Arabidopsis thaliana: one gene and its partner. The protein of the gene in region 2 interacts with the protein of the main gene of each other region in a pairwise test. Each region holds a gene or a part of one and is shown on either strand. Other genes may lie near its edges. The genes, in order: SUB and AT4G20790.

Region 1 (7,245 bases), on a different chromosome or scaffold from region 2:
TGTGGATCTACTTTTCATTTTCCTTGCTATCCCTTTGGAGTCTGTATGGGAAATCACTGGAAGCAATATCGACCTAGTATGCATTGGCAACTTTTGTAGAAGCTTGAAGGACTTGAGCTCTAGGGGAGGCACAGATGCATCTACTAACACATGTATGCTTCCTTGGCAATATAGTTTGCAGAAACCGTTGCTTGGGGTCAGTTATTTAAACAGTGACGGTAGTTCTCAGTCGACACCTCATGGTAGCAATGGGTTAGTTAAGAGAGGGGCAACATACATTGTCTCAGATGATCTTACTATTTGCGTAAAGAAGAAGTTTGATGTGAACTTGGACGATATTTTTGAGCATGAAATCAACATTGGCAAAACACATGTATATCTATATTACTATTCTTTCCTGATATTTTTTTTTGAATCTGACACTAATCCAGGCCATAGGTTTACTAAGAGCCTCATTCGTGACATCCACTGCCTTGACTACGGCTTTCGGGAGCTTTCTTTCAGAGAAACGACTCTAAAGCATCAATCACATGCCCTCTGTGGAGCAGATTGATTTGAAGTTTAGGTTTTGTTGTCTACAGTGCTAGTTGAACAAGTTACCTTCTCTTTTACACTACTGTTAAGTACAACCTTTTGTTCTTGAATTTTAATGTCTTTTGATTCAAAAAATGTTTATCCTTTTCAGAAAATAGAATCTAAATACATGATCAGGTTGGTGAATAATGTTTGAGCCGGTAATGGGATTGGGGTTACATAATGATGATCCCATAGCTCATTTCATACAGCCAACAACATACATAAAGTGTTATTATAATACAAAAGAAATACTTTCATTCATCAAAGGACAAAGAACAAGAATCTGACAATAAACTATTGCTTCTGCGTCTTAGTCCAAGGTTGTGTATCTTAGATCATATGTTGAAGATCTTGGACTATTTCTGATATCGGCGGTCTAAATCCTGGTTCCATCTACAGACAAAGATAAGCATGCACAGAAGTCAAAAGGGTTAGTTAATATTCTGATGTCACGTGTTTGACATTGCTTTCTCATCTAGTTAAGTGATGAATGAAGTTAAGTTTACCTGCAGTGAACGTGATATGATATCTGCAAAACGTGACAATGATTTCATTGGATACGCTCCGTGTAATGACGGATCAACCATTCTTGTCAACGCATCGATGTCATGAAGCCGAGGAATCGCCCACTGAGCTAGTGTTTGATGTCCCCTCGGCCTTGTCCTGCAAAAAAAAACAGGGTTTTGTCTTGAGATAGTGTAGTACAGTGATTTTGCATAAGAAACATAAGTGAACATGTTGACTTTTGAGTTCAGACTCTTTTATGGCTTCTATTAGTTGTCTCTTTAGAGTAGCTAACCTGTCAAATGGTCTGCGTCCAGTGAGCAGTTCTAACATTACAACCCCAAGGCTAAATACGTCGCTCTGACAAGTGTAGCTTCCATACTCAACCTCAGGAGCGGCATAACCCGCCATCTACAATTTTATAAGCAAACATCATATCCTTTACAACACTCACTCTTATGTTTGGGATCTTCAAAATAAGATGACAAATTTACCTGACTCGTTGGGCGTGGTGGTAACATATAAGCCAAACCGCTGTCTGCAACACGTACTGAGAGCTTTCCATCAAGAAGAACCTTGGAAGACTTGAAATTCTGGTGAACAACCGGCGGTTGACATACCTCATGAAGAAACCTGAAACCAAACTCTAAGATCCTATATGTTCCAAATATAGATTGGCGTAACATGTTGAGGTTCTTTAACTTACTGCAATGCCTTTGAAGCTCCTAATGCAATATTTATACGTACATTCCAAGTGAGCTTCTTGTGCAACTTGCGATCCAAATGTAGTGCATCTTGAAGTGATCCATTAGGACAGTACTCATACACAAGTAACCTTTGACCAAACTCGTTACAGTAACCAAGAAGCTCCAATATATGACCGCGTTTAAGCTTCAACACATTGGAGACTAGATTGAGGAATTCGCCGTCACTCTGTGTTCTGTTGATGGTATTGCTCAGCTTCTTCACCGCAAGAAACTATAGATCACAACGTGTCAAGACGTAAATAAGAATGCACAGCATAAAATACTGTAAGACCAAATGACAAATAAGAGGAAAGTGTCACACCTTTCCATGACGAAGCTCAGCTCTGTAGACATTACCAATCGACCCTTCCCCGATTATATTCTCTTCTGAGAAATTATTTGTGTATTGCTGAAGTGAAGCAATGGTGAAAACAGTAGCAGAAGATGAGGAATTCAAGCCCGGGGGGAAATGAGCCGCTCTCTTTGAAGCAGTATCATTGGACTGGAACTGCCTCGGTGGTTGTTGCAGCGGCTTTTGAGGTGTATTAACATCCTTATTATAATATGAAGTAGGAGGCATTGCTCTCCGGCTCTCTTCAGCCCGCTGTGGCATTGGATACCCATATTTCCTGTCTCCAGCTCCATATCCATCGAAAGGCTTAACCATAGGCTCCCGAGAAACTGCAACAAAAGAAAACACCACAGCAGTTTGCCGTTAGGTAATGAGCCAAAGCACAAGTTTCTTTTCTTTTCTTGGAAGGAAAAGAATCAGTGTACCTTTTCCCATAGTGGGGGTTGGTTGAGATGGAGGCTTATTGAAGTATGGTCGTTGTAAATCTTTACGAGCTCCACTGTAATATCGGTTATATATTTTACTTCTGCAACATCTCCAAAGTGTAACACACAAACCGGATACAAGAACAATTATGGCCACTGAAGAAACTACTAGAATGATTCTTTGAGTGGACCAGAATTTTCCTGATCCTGAACCTGAAGGAGGTGATATTTGCAAGGTAGGTTGCCCTGACACAGAGTTCCAGGGATCTCCTCCTCCATTATCAGAAGAAGGTGGTGACCAGACCAGAGGTGGTGATGGTGGTGGATGTTGTTGTGGTTGCAGTGGAGCAAAAGGAGCAAAAGGTGCTGGGGGAACACCAGAAACAGGAGGGATACGGGGAACAGGAGGAGCACGGTGAGTAGCGGGAGGAGGATCAACCACAGGCGGAGGCGGTGGTGTTATAATCGATGTATTGAACGGAGTTCCATCTTTTCTGCGGTTATAATGACAATGTAACATGAATGGCTAAAGAAAAGGAAAAAAAAAACATTCAAGTTTTCTTTTAGTAATACTTACTTGAAGTTTGGAATTTTCAATAGATTTGGCGGTATAGGTCCCGAGAATAAGTTGTTTTCTACATTCCTGAATCAAAAATATGAAAAGCCATAGTGAGATACTGAAGTTGGCTTAATGGTTGGAGAGTCAAGAACAAAGAGTATGCAAGGTGAAAAACGATTACAAATCGGTTAAGAAAAGATCCTCTATAACATCAAGTGTTCCTGTGAGCTTGTTGTCCTGCAAATACCTACAGTCCGACCACATCACATATAAAAGCAATGATAACAATGTTTGTATACGGTTTCATATATGTGCACTTACAATATCTTAAGAGAAGCTAAGTCTCCCATGGAAGAAGGTAAATGCCCCTCCAGTATGTTAGACGATAAGTCCCTGCATTAGAAACTTAATGTATAAATGAAAGACGCTGATGGGAGGATACAAAATGAGACTTAGTGAGGAGGAAATATACAGTTTTGTCAGTTTTGATAGCTGCTGAAAGTAATCTGGTATCTCTCCTGATAGAAGATTGCTTCCCAATGACCTGAAGGGAAAAGAAAGAGTCTGCTTCAAACAGAGGAAAAACCGCAGATGCAAGAAACGGTATCTACATTAATAAAGACTTACAGTTCAGACAAATCGGATAGAAAGGACAATGTAAAGGGAATGTTCCCAGTGAAGCGATTGCTTGAGAGAGATCTGAAACAAGAAAATGAAACCAAACATGAAGTGTCTTTTAACTGTTGGAAACATAAGTATTGCCATACACATAGTCAATTCTCAAACGCACAGGTTTCGGATGGAAGAAGGCAAAGCCTGCGGAATTGTCCCTGAAATATGATTGCTACTGAAGTCCCTGTCCACTCAAACAAAGAAGAGAGAAAAAGTATCACAAAGCAATTCAAGATTATAACCAAACCTTATAGTCAATGGTAACAACATCTTGCATGTTCTTCACATAGCAAGAAGCCTCATACAAAAGATGAAGATGAAAGAAAACAAGACAAGAAGCTTTGCTTACATGACTTGGATAGATGAAAAATCAGCCAGAGTATCACTTAAGCCTCCACCTACCTTCATGCCAGGTATCCTTCTGCAGCCAACAACAATAATTCACGTGGTTAGAACCTGAATTGGTGACTCAAAGCAAACCATAACAAAGAGTTACAAGAGCAGAAGAGGAAGTATACATTTCTGTGATGTTTGAGGAGTCACACACCACACCTTGCCACTTTTCTCCACAAGGGTCTCCTCCAAAAGCAAGCCAATGATGTAGAGATGGTGCTCCCAAAGTGATATACAAGTTATTAATCGCCGAAACTGCAGAAGTTATTAAACAACAGACAAACACATCAAAAAGTAAAATTTCTAGAGATTAAAGAATCTTTCTTATGATAACCATTTAATGAAGAACAATAAGAACAAATTTCTTGGTCTTGAACTAAAACCCTAACAAGAGCTTATGTGTCAAAAACCTAAACTTTTTAGGGTTTTTGAGGTAGCCTCAAAATCATAGAACTTTGCCAATCTGGAGCTTCCCAAACAGCTATATTGCTTACCTAGTTTACCCTAAAACTGATGTAAGTCATTTTCACTAGACACAAGTCTAAAAAAAATCTAGAGTGTTCACTAAACCAAAAGAAGGAGAGTCAAAGCAAAATCCAAATAAAAAAAACTTTGCAGAGAAAGATTATTACCATCTCGTAGATTAGTAACTCCAGCTGAGAAAGGCATTGTCAAGGCTAAAACAGAGAGACCAAAGAACACTTCCCATCTTGTAAAGCTCATAACTTCAGCCACTGAAGATGAGAAAACCCTTGAACTTGGATTAGATTGTTTCTTTCCAATAAAAAACGAAGATTCAGAGGGAATGTTATGGAAAAAAAACACGAGGAAGAAGAAGAAGAAGAAGAAGAAGAAGGGTGAAACAGGGATATTCCTGATTAAAAGGTAAAGTGAATCATAATTTCGTCGGATTTTTAGGAGAGAGAGAAAGAAGAAAAGAGATGAAGAGTGAGTGAGAGAGAAAGAGTGTAGTGTGTTTTGTCTCGAAGAACGAGCGGCTTACAAAAGCCAACGGCTTTGTTTTTCTCAGTTTTAAGCCTTTAAGGTTTCGTCTCCAAAGTGTGAAACAGAGAAAACTTGCCAAGACTTGTCTCTCTTTATGTCTTTTAATTGTCGCTTCTATGCTTCATCTAATTACTATAGTTTCCTTTCATGTAATAATTGGATTTTTCTAATGCCATAAGGTAGAGAGATAGAAGTGAATATTATTTTGATGTAGATTACATATTCCGTTACTTCACCTATTAAAATCCAAATAATGTAACAGGCAGAGTTTATCACACTTATTTCAGTGAGATGGGCCAAGAAAACAGTTGAAGTAAGAAAAGCTCTGAGAATTCTTTAATGGAAGAAGAGAGTGAGAGACCCTACAACAAGGTCAAAAAAAATATCATCATATTCATCCCACGTCCATTTTTGCTCTTTTGGTGATAAAAATGTGTGAATTAGTTTTAGTAACAAACTAATAGCAACAAACTATTTGAGAAAACTAGTACTTTTACATGGTTTGGAAATTGATTTCAATTATACATCTTAGTGAATCCTAATATATGTTTTTAAACAATTAGAGCCAATAAAGGGTTTTTTCTTACGACTTTAAATTGAATATACTTAGTAATTATACAATAATTATCTTTTCAATATATTCTAAAAATAACTAACTAATGTTATATGTATGATTGCACGGTGCATTTTGGTTACCATTCGAAACCTTTGTTTTTCTATTAATAATTAAGAATTCTGGTTTTGTGTTTACAGTTACAACTAACAATCACTATTTATCAATTTCTTTGGAATATATTCTTAATTTGTATTATTCTTTGTTTGTTGGTTGATGTGATGGAGGATTTGTGTACAATTCAATAGTAGTAATTTAATGGAATGCCATCATTGCATAATTTGAGATGAGAGTAACTTCGATATTCATATGTGATTACTTCTCAAGTTCCTTTTTTGGTAGGAGTTACTTCTGAAGTTCTGATATTCACATAAATTATTTGCAACCCGAATAATAACAGCAAACATACATTGTATGATCAATAAAGAATAAAACATGCTTGGTGAGCTTATGTGTTGATATTAGATTTTTATTTTGTCGAGATCAATTAATTATCAATCGATTTTTTTGGCTTGTCAAAATCAATCAAGTTCACACCATACACGATAATAAGTTGCGACTAGTTAAAAAAAAAAAACCACATTCTTATGGGCTATTCAAACCAAATGTGGCCCAAACTTGGTCAATAGTGTAATGGTAAAGCCCACTTGAAAGAAGATACCTCTCGTAGGCCTAATAATGCAATGAGATTGCAACGGTTACTTTCAATCTTTGAAGAAAAGTAGAAAACTATCGTACATGATGCTTTTTTGCACCCAAAAAAAATCGTACATGATAACATTTTTTTTTTTCAAAACCAATATGCCAAGTGCCAACCATAATAAACCGAACCAAAATCAAATAAATAATACCGAATCAAATTTTTGTTTCGACCGAACTCGACCCAAAACTACACCAATCAGGTTGGATTCATTTTGATTCTTGTACTTCAAAAAATCAGAAACCCCATATAATAATGATTGTAGCACTTATACATGCATACCAAATTAGTTATGAGATTGGAAGATGCATGATAATGAATTCAAACTATTGGTCTCTTAAAAAAGAGTGTCGAGGAAAAAATACAGATATTGTAAAGTTAGGCTTTATTTTATAATATGGTCTCTCATTACGCAAAAGGCGAAACAAAATTAAAGAATGCAACACTACTTTATGGTCACCCGTTAGCCAGAGGATCCAAGGCACATAACGAATGTTTTATTTATTTAAATCAAATCTAGTTACGTATCTACACGAATTTTGGTTCAAGTTTTGGTTTTACATCACCCTAGCTTTTTCCGCCCTACCATTTTACATCAAGAAGCTTCAAAGAAAAAGTTCTATAGATTATGAAAAGTCAAAAAAAGAACTTAAAAGAATTTGTTAGACGATACTTGGATACAATTTGCTGTTATGCACTT
Region 2 (4,154 bases):
GAATAGTACACCAAATGGGTACACTATAATAGTACACCAAGTGAGAACACTAGAACAGTACACCAGTAGTACACAAGACTAGTACACTAGACTAGTACACCAAATGCGTACACTATGATAGTACACAAAGTGAGAACACTAGAACAGTACACCACTTCGGTACACTAGACTAGTACACTAGCCAAGATAGAATACTAAACAAAAGACGTCGTGACCAACCATGGAGAATCTTCGCCGGAGAACTTGTTCAAGTGATTTGAAAGTCTGAATTTTTTCGCAGTTAATAGCCTTTCCTGGCCTAGTTTTATCAACCTTGAAATCCCACCAACCATTGGAGTAGCAAATCCACCGGCCGACCATGGAGACGCAGGATTCATCGTCCCCTGAAAAAACGAAAACAGAGTCATCGTCTCCATCGTTATTTGTTGGCCGTACACTCAATTTCATAAACTGTAAAGCTTCTTATGATAACTCATACCTTCCATCTCGACAGATTTTGACAATGTGTGTATGATTTTCGAAGTGACGAGGGTTTATCTTCTTTTGACAATGACGACTTCAGAGAAGATGTCGACGACGAGAGAAGTTTATGTTCAACGAGGGTTTAGGAGATAAGTTTATGTTTGGTTTCAATGTCTTGAGGACAAATGGGTTTGAGTTTTGTGATATTAGCCCATGACAAATCTTGAATTTTGAATGATATTGGGCTGGTTTGAATTTGGCCCATTAGTTTTCATCAAAACACAAGAGGGGTAAAACGGTCTTTGACTATTTGCTGTATTAGAGGAGGGCTGTATTAGAGAGGACAGAAGAAACTACCCTATCAGCCTATTTTTAAAAAAACTGTCTAGTTCTCAAATTATTTCCCTAAAAACTGCCTAGTTCTCAACTTATCTCAAATGACTATTCCTCTCACTTTTTGAGTTAGTGCTCATGGAAGTAGCATTTAGCTTCTGTTGAATTCACCTTTTAATGCGTTGCATTAGTGTAAAATTCTCTAACAATTAAGAAGCCTGAGTAAGTTTGCAATAAATTTTATTTTCTTTATCAAAAGTTTACCTTTTAGCTCCTGTTGAATTTCCATTTTTTTAAAGATTCATTAAGACAATAACTATTATTTTTATATATTTTTATTATTCTTAATTAAGAAAATACAAAAAATTATAAAATATGTTAATAACAAAATAATAAACAATACAACATAGGAAACTATACCAATTAAAGAAATTAAATGCATATAGATTAGATGAATAAAAATAGAAATGTAGAAAATTAAAAATTATATATATGATTCTATAAATCTAAATTTTAAATTAGGCATATTAATTTGGTAAAATTGCAGAAATATAAAGTTCATTGGATATAAAGTGAAACTATTGAAGATTTTATTGATAGTAGTTTATATAATTCAATTCAATTCTCAAACAAAAATTATATTTAACATTGAGCACATTTACCAAATAATTATCGACTCAAATTCACCCACGTAGATGTTTGTTGCGCAAGAAAGAGAAAAAGTTTAGAACAAGATAAATAGACCAAAGAGACAAGAAATATATGAAAGGAATTCGAGGCACAATCTTACAAATACAAGCAAAACCATTCTAGATAATTTTTTACCAACTGACATAAACACATTATTATGTGTTCAATGACAACGAAAATGATAATTAAACATTGAAATTTGTTTTCATAGTGGAGCTATTGTAAAAAGTGTAGATATTCACAAAATTTAAAAAACTTCACAATTATTATTATTTTAATAATCTTCAACTTCCAAGCACACGATCACTAAAAGGAAAATGGGCGCGTAAATCTCATCCCACTCTGTTTCAAAATAACCGCCAACAACAACAACACCTCCAATAACACAGAAACTACCTCTCTGCTTCTCTCTCTAATCTCACCCATACACGAAACCAAATAACGAAACCTATTTGCTCTCTATCTCTCCAATGGCGTCTTCTCTGTTCTTCATCTTCTTCCTCACGTCACTACTATCATCCTATCTTCCTCTCTCAGTATTCTCCGCAACCGTCGTCGAAGACCTCGCTAATCTAAGTCCACCTCCTGATTTCAACACCACTATTTCCAACAACTGTCTTCGTGATCCAATGCTCCGTTACTGCAACAACACTTCCTCTTCTCCAATGGACATTGTCGAGATTTTCAGATCCACAATCGTCGCTAGTCATCTCTGTAACGAGTCCAAAAACCCTAACTGCGTTGAATCTTTCCCTAGAATCAGAATTCACGGTCGTCCTAAAACCGCTGCTCTTTACCTCTCTTTCGATTTCTTCTGGAAGTACTGTCCTTTAACCGTCGTTGATATCGAGTTAGTGAATAACTCTCTAACGAATGGTTTTCCGACAAATGTTCTGTCTTGTGCTCAGATTCGTACTCTTGATCTGAGTTACAACCAATTCTCTGGTTTTGTTCCGGTTCAAGATCTCTCAGGCTTACCCAATCTGACCCATTTGAACCTATCGTATAACCGATTCTCCGAGAATAAGATCTCGGATTCTGAGTTCTTCAAACGGTTTAACGCCTCTAGTTTCATACAGTCCGGTGTTCTTCCCAACGTGAAGCGTTACAAGATGAAAGTTTTGGTCTTGTTGATTGTTTTTCCAATAATGGTGATTTTGCTCTGTTTTTGCTTTGGCTGGTTATGTGTCAAGAGACCTGATTACTTACCAAGAACATGCCGGAGAAGAAACAAGTTCACATTCGCGATGCTTGAAGCAGCAACGGATGAGTTTTCAGATCAACATCTTGTGAGCATGAGCAATACAGTGGATATCTACAAAGGAACGTTAAGAGACGGGACAGAGACGAAGATCGAGGTTTATAAAGAGAAGGTTTCGAGTGAGAAAAGGCGTGAATTCGCAGAGGTATGCGAGATGGTTTTTAAGTTACGACACAAGAACTTGGTAAGAGTGTTGGGTTGGTGTAATAGTAGAAACATGAGAGCTTTGGTTACAGAATGGATTCAAGGTGAAAATGTTGAGACTTGGTTAAGTTCGTCAATGGCTTTATCATGGAGAAGAAGGTTAAGAGTAGTTCTAGGAGTTGTAGAAGGTATTTGTTATCTATCAGATCAATGGCCAGAGATTACATTTGATCTCACCACAAGCAGTGTTTTGTTATCCGATGATAATCAAGAACCTTTGATTTCTCATTTCAAGATTGGAGATAGAAACAACTTGTCAACAAGTAAGGCTTCATCTTCTTCTTGCAAAAATCAAAACCTTTTTAAGGCTATAAAAGCTAAGTCTGTTGTTGTTGTTGTTGTTGTGTTATTACAGATATATTCAACTTTGGATTGTTTTTTGTGGAGATGATTACAAATCTAAGACCTGATTTGGGACAAGAAGATTCAGAAAGAAGGTATCTTGAGTATATAAGAGTTCATTATCCGGATAATCTAGAGAGAGTGATTGATGAGAAGATGAAGATTGAGGGGAGAACATTTGATCAAGTTAAGCAAGCCATTACGCTAGGACTGATGTGTACTGATATAATACCACCATTAAAGCAACCAAGCTTGACGCAGATTTATGACTTGGTGAGTTCATTGTATGAGTCTAGTTCACGACATCATTGAAATACCTTGTAAAGCTTTATTGGTTTCTTTTGATTTTCAGACATCTGGTGTTAGATAGTATTGTAAGGATTAAAGACATATTTGTGTGTTTTTTCTTTGATTACTATAAGTACTGAGAGAATTTGCAGAAAATGAGTACTTAATTTGCAGACATGAAATCTGTAAATGGGCTTCATTTCTGCAAATGGGCTTTATTAGCTGAAATGGGTTTCATAGTTTTATGGGTTCTCAAATGACCCGACCCGGGTTGGAAGATATAGAAACTATACACTGGTTGGCAAATGGGAACGTTCGATTAAAAATTCGGTAACTACTACGACGTGACTTGTCTCTTCTCCGTTGAAAAGCCATCGACAGTTATGTATGAGTGTATCATTTATCAACTTGAAAGCAATTTCAGTTTTTAAAATAATCCAAATACTAATAAACCAGAAATTAACCCATCATCAAAGCATTAATAATCTTCATTACCATTTGAAACCGAAACTTGTATCACAATTAAATAACGATCATAAAATTAGACGTTTTTTTTTCTCTATCTCCATTTTCC

Evidence for each region.
Region 1: the proteins of AT4G20790 (region 2) and SUB interact in a protein complementation assay, tested with the Arabidopsis thaliana proteins (2 studies listed by BioGRID).

What each region holds. Positions count from the first base shown.
Region 1 is NC_003070.9:3,720,840-3,728,084, reverse strand, and holds SUB (Leucine-rich repeat protein kinase family protein), read right to left. Parts: upstream 5,378-7,245; 5' UTR 4,951-5,377; coding exon 4,860-4,950; intron 4,517-4,859; exon of another isoform or gene 4,483-4,516; coding exon 4,353-4,482; intron 4,256-4,352; coding exon 4,184-4,255; intron 4,019-4,183; coding exon 3,953-4,018; intron 3,862-3,952; coding exon 3,790-3,861; intron 3,707-3,789; coding exon 3,635-3,706; intron 3,556-3,634; coding exon 3,484-3,555; intron 3,410-3,483; coding exon 3,344-3,409; intron 3,247-3,343; coding exon 3,181-3,246; intron 3,098-3,180; coding exon 2,604-3,097; intron 2,508-2,603; coding exon 2,149-2,507; intron 2,059-2,148; coding exon 1,787-2,058; intron 1,714-1,786; coding exon 1,575-1,713; intron 1,492-1,574; coding exon 1,376-1,491; intron 1,240-1,375; coding exon 1,083-1,239; intron 970-1,082; coding exon 907-969; 3' UTR 635-906; downstream 1-634. Other genes in the region: AT1G11145 (hypothetical protein (DUF674)), read left to right, coding at 41-373, 449-553. UniProt on the Arabidopsis thaliana protein: Regulates the expression of transcription factors that define the cell fates.
Region 2 is NC_003075.7:11,134,225-11,138,378, reverse strand, and holds AT4G20790 (Leucine-rich repeat protein kinase family protein), read left to right. Parts: upstream 1-1,955; coding exon 1,956-3,213; intron 3,214-3,305; coding exon 3,306-3,604; downstream 3,605-4,154.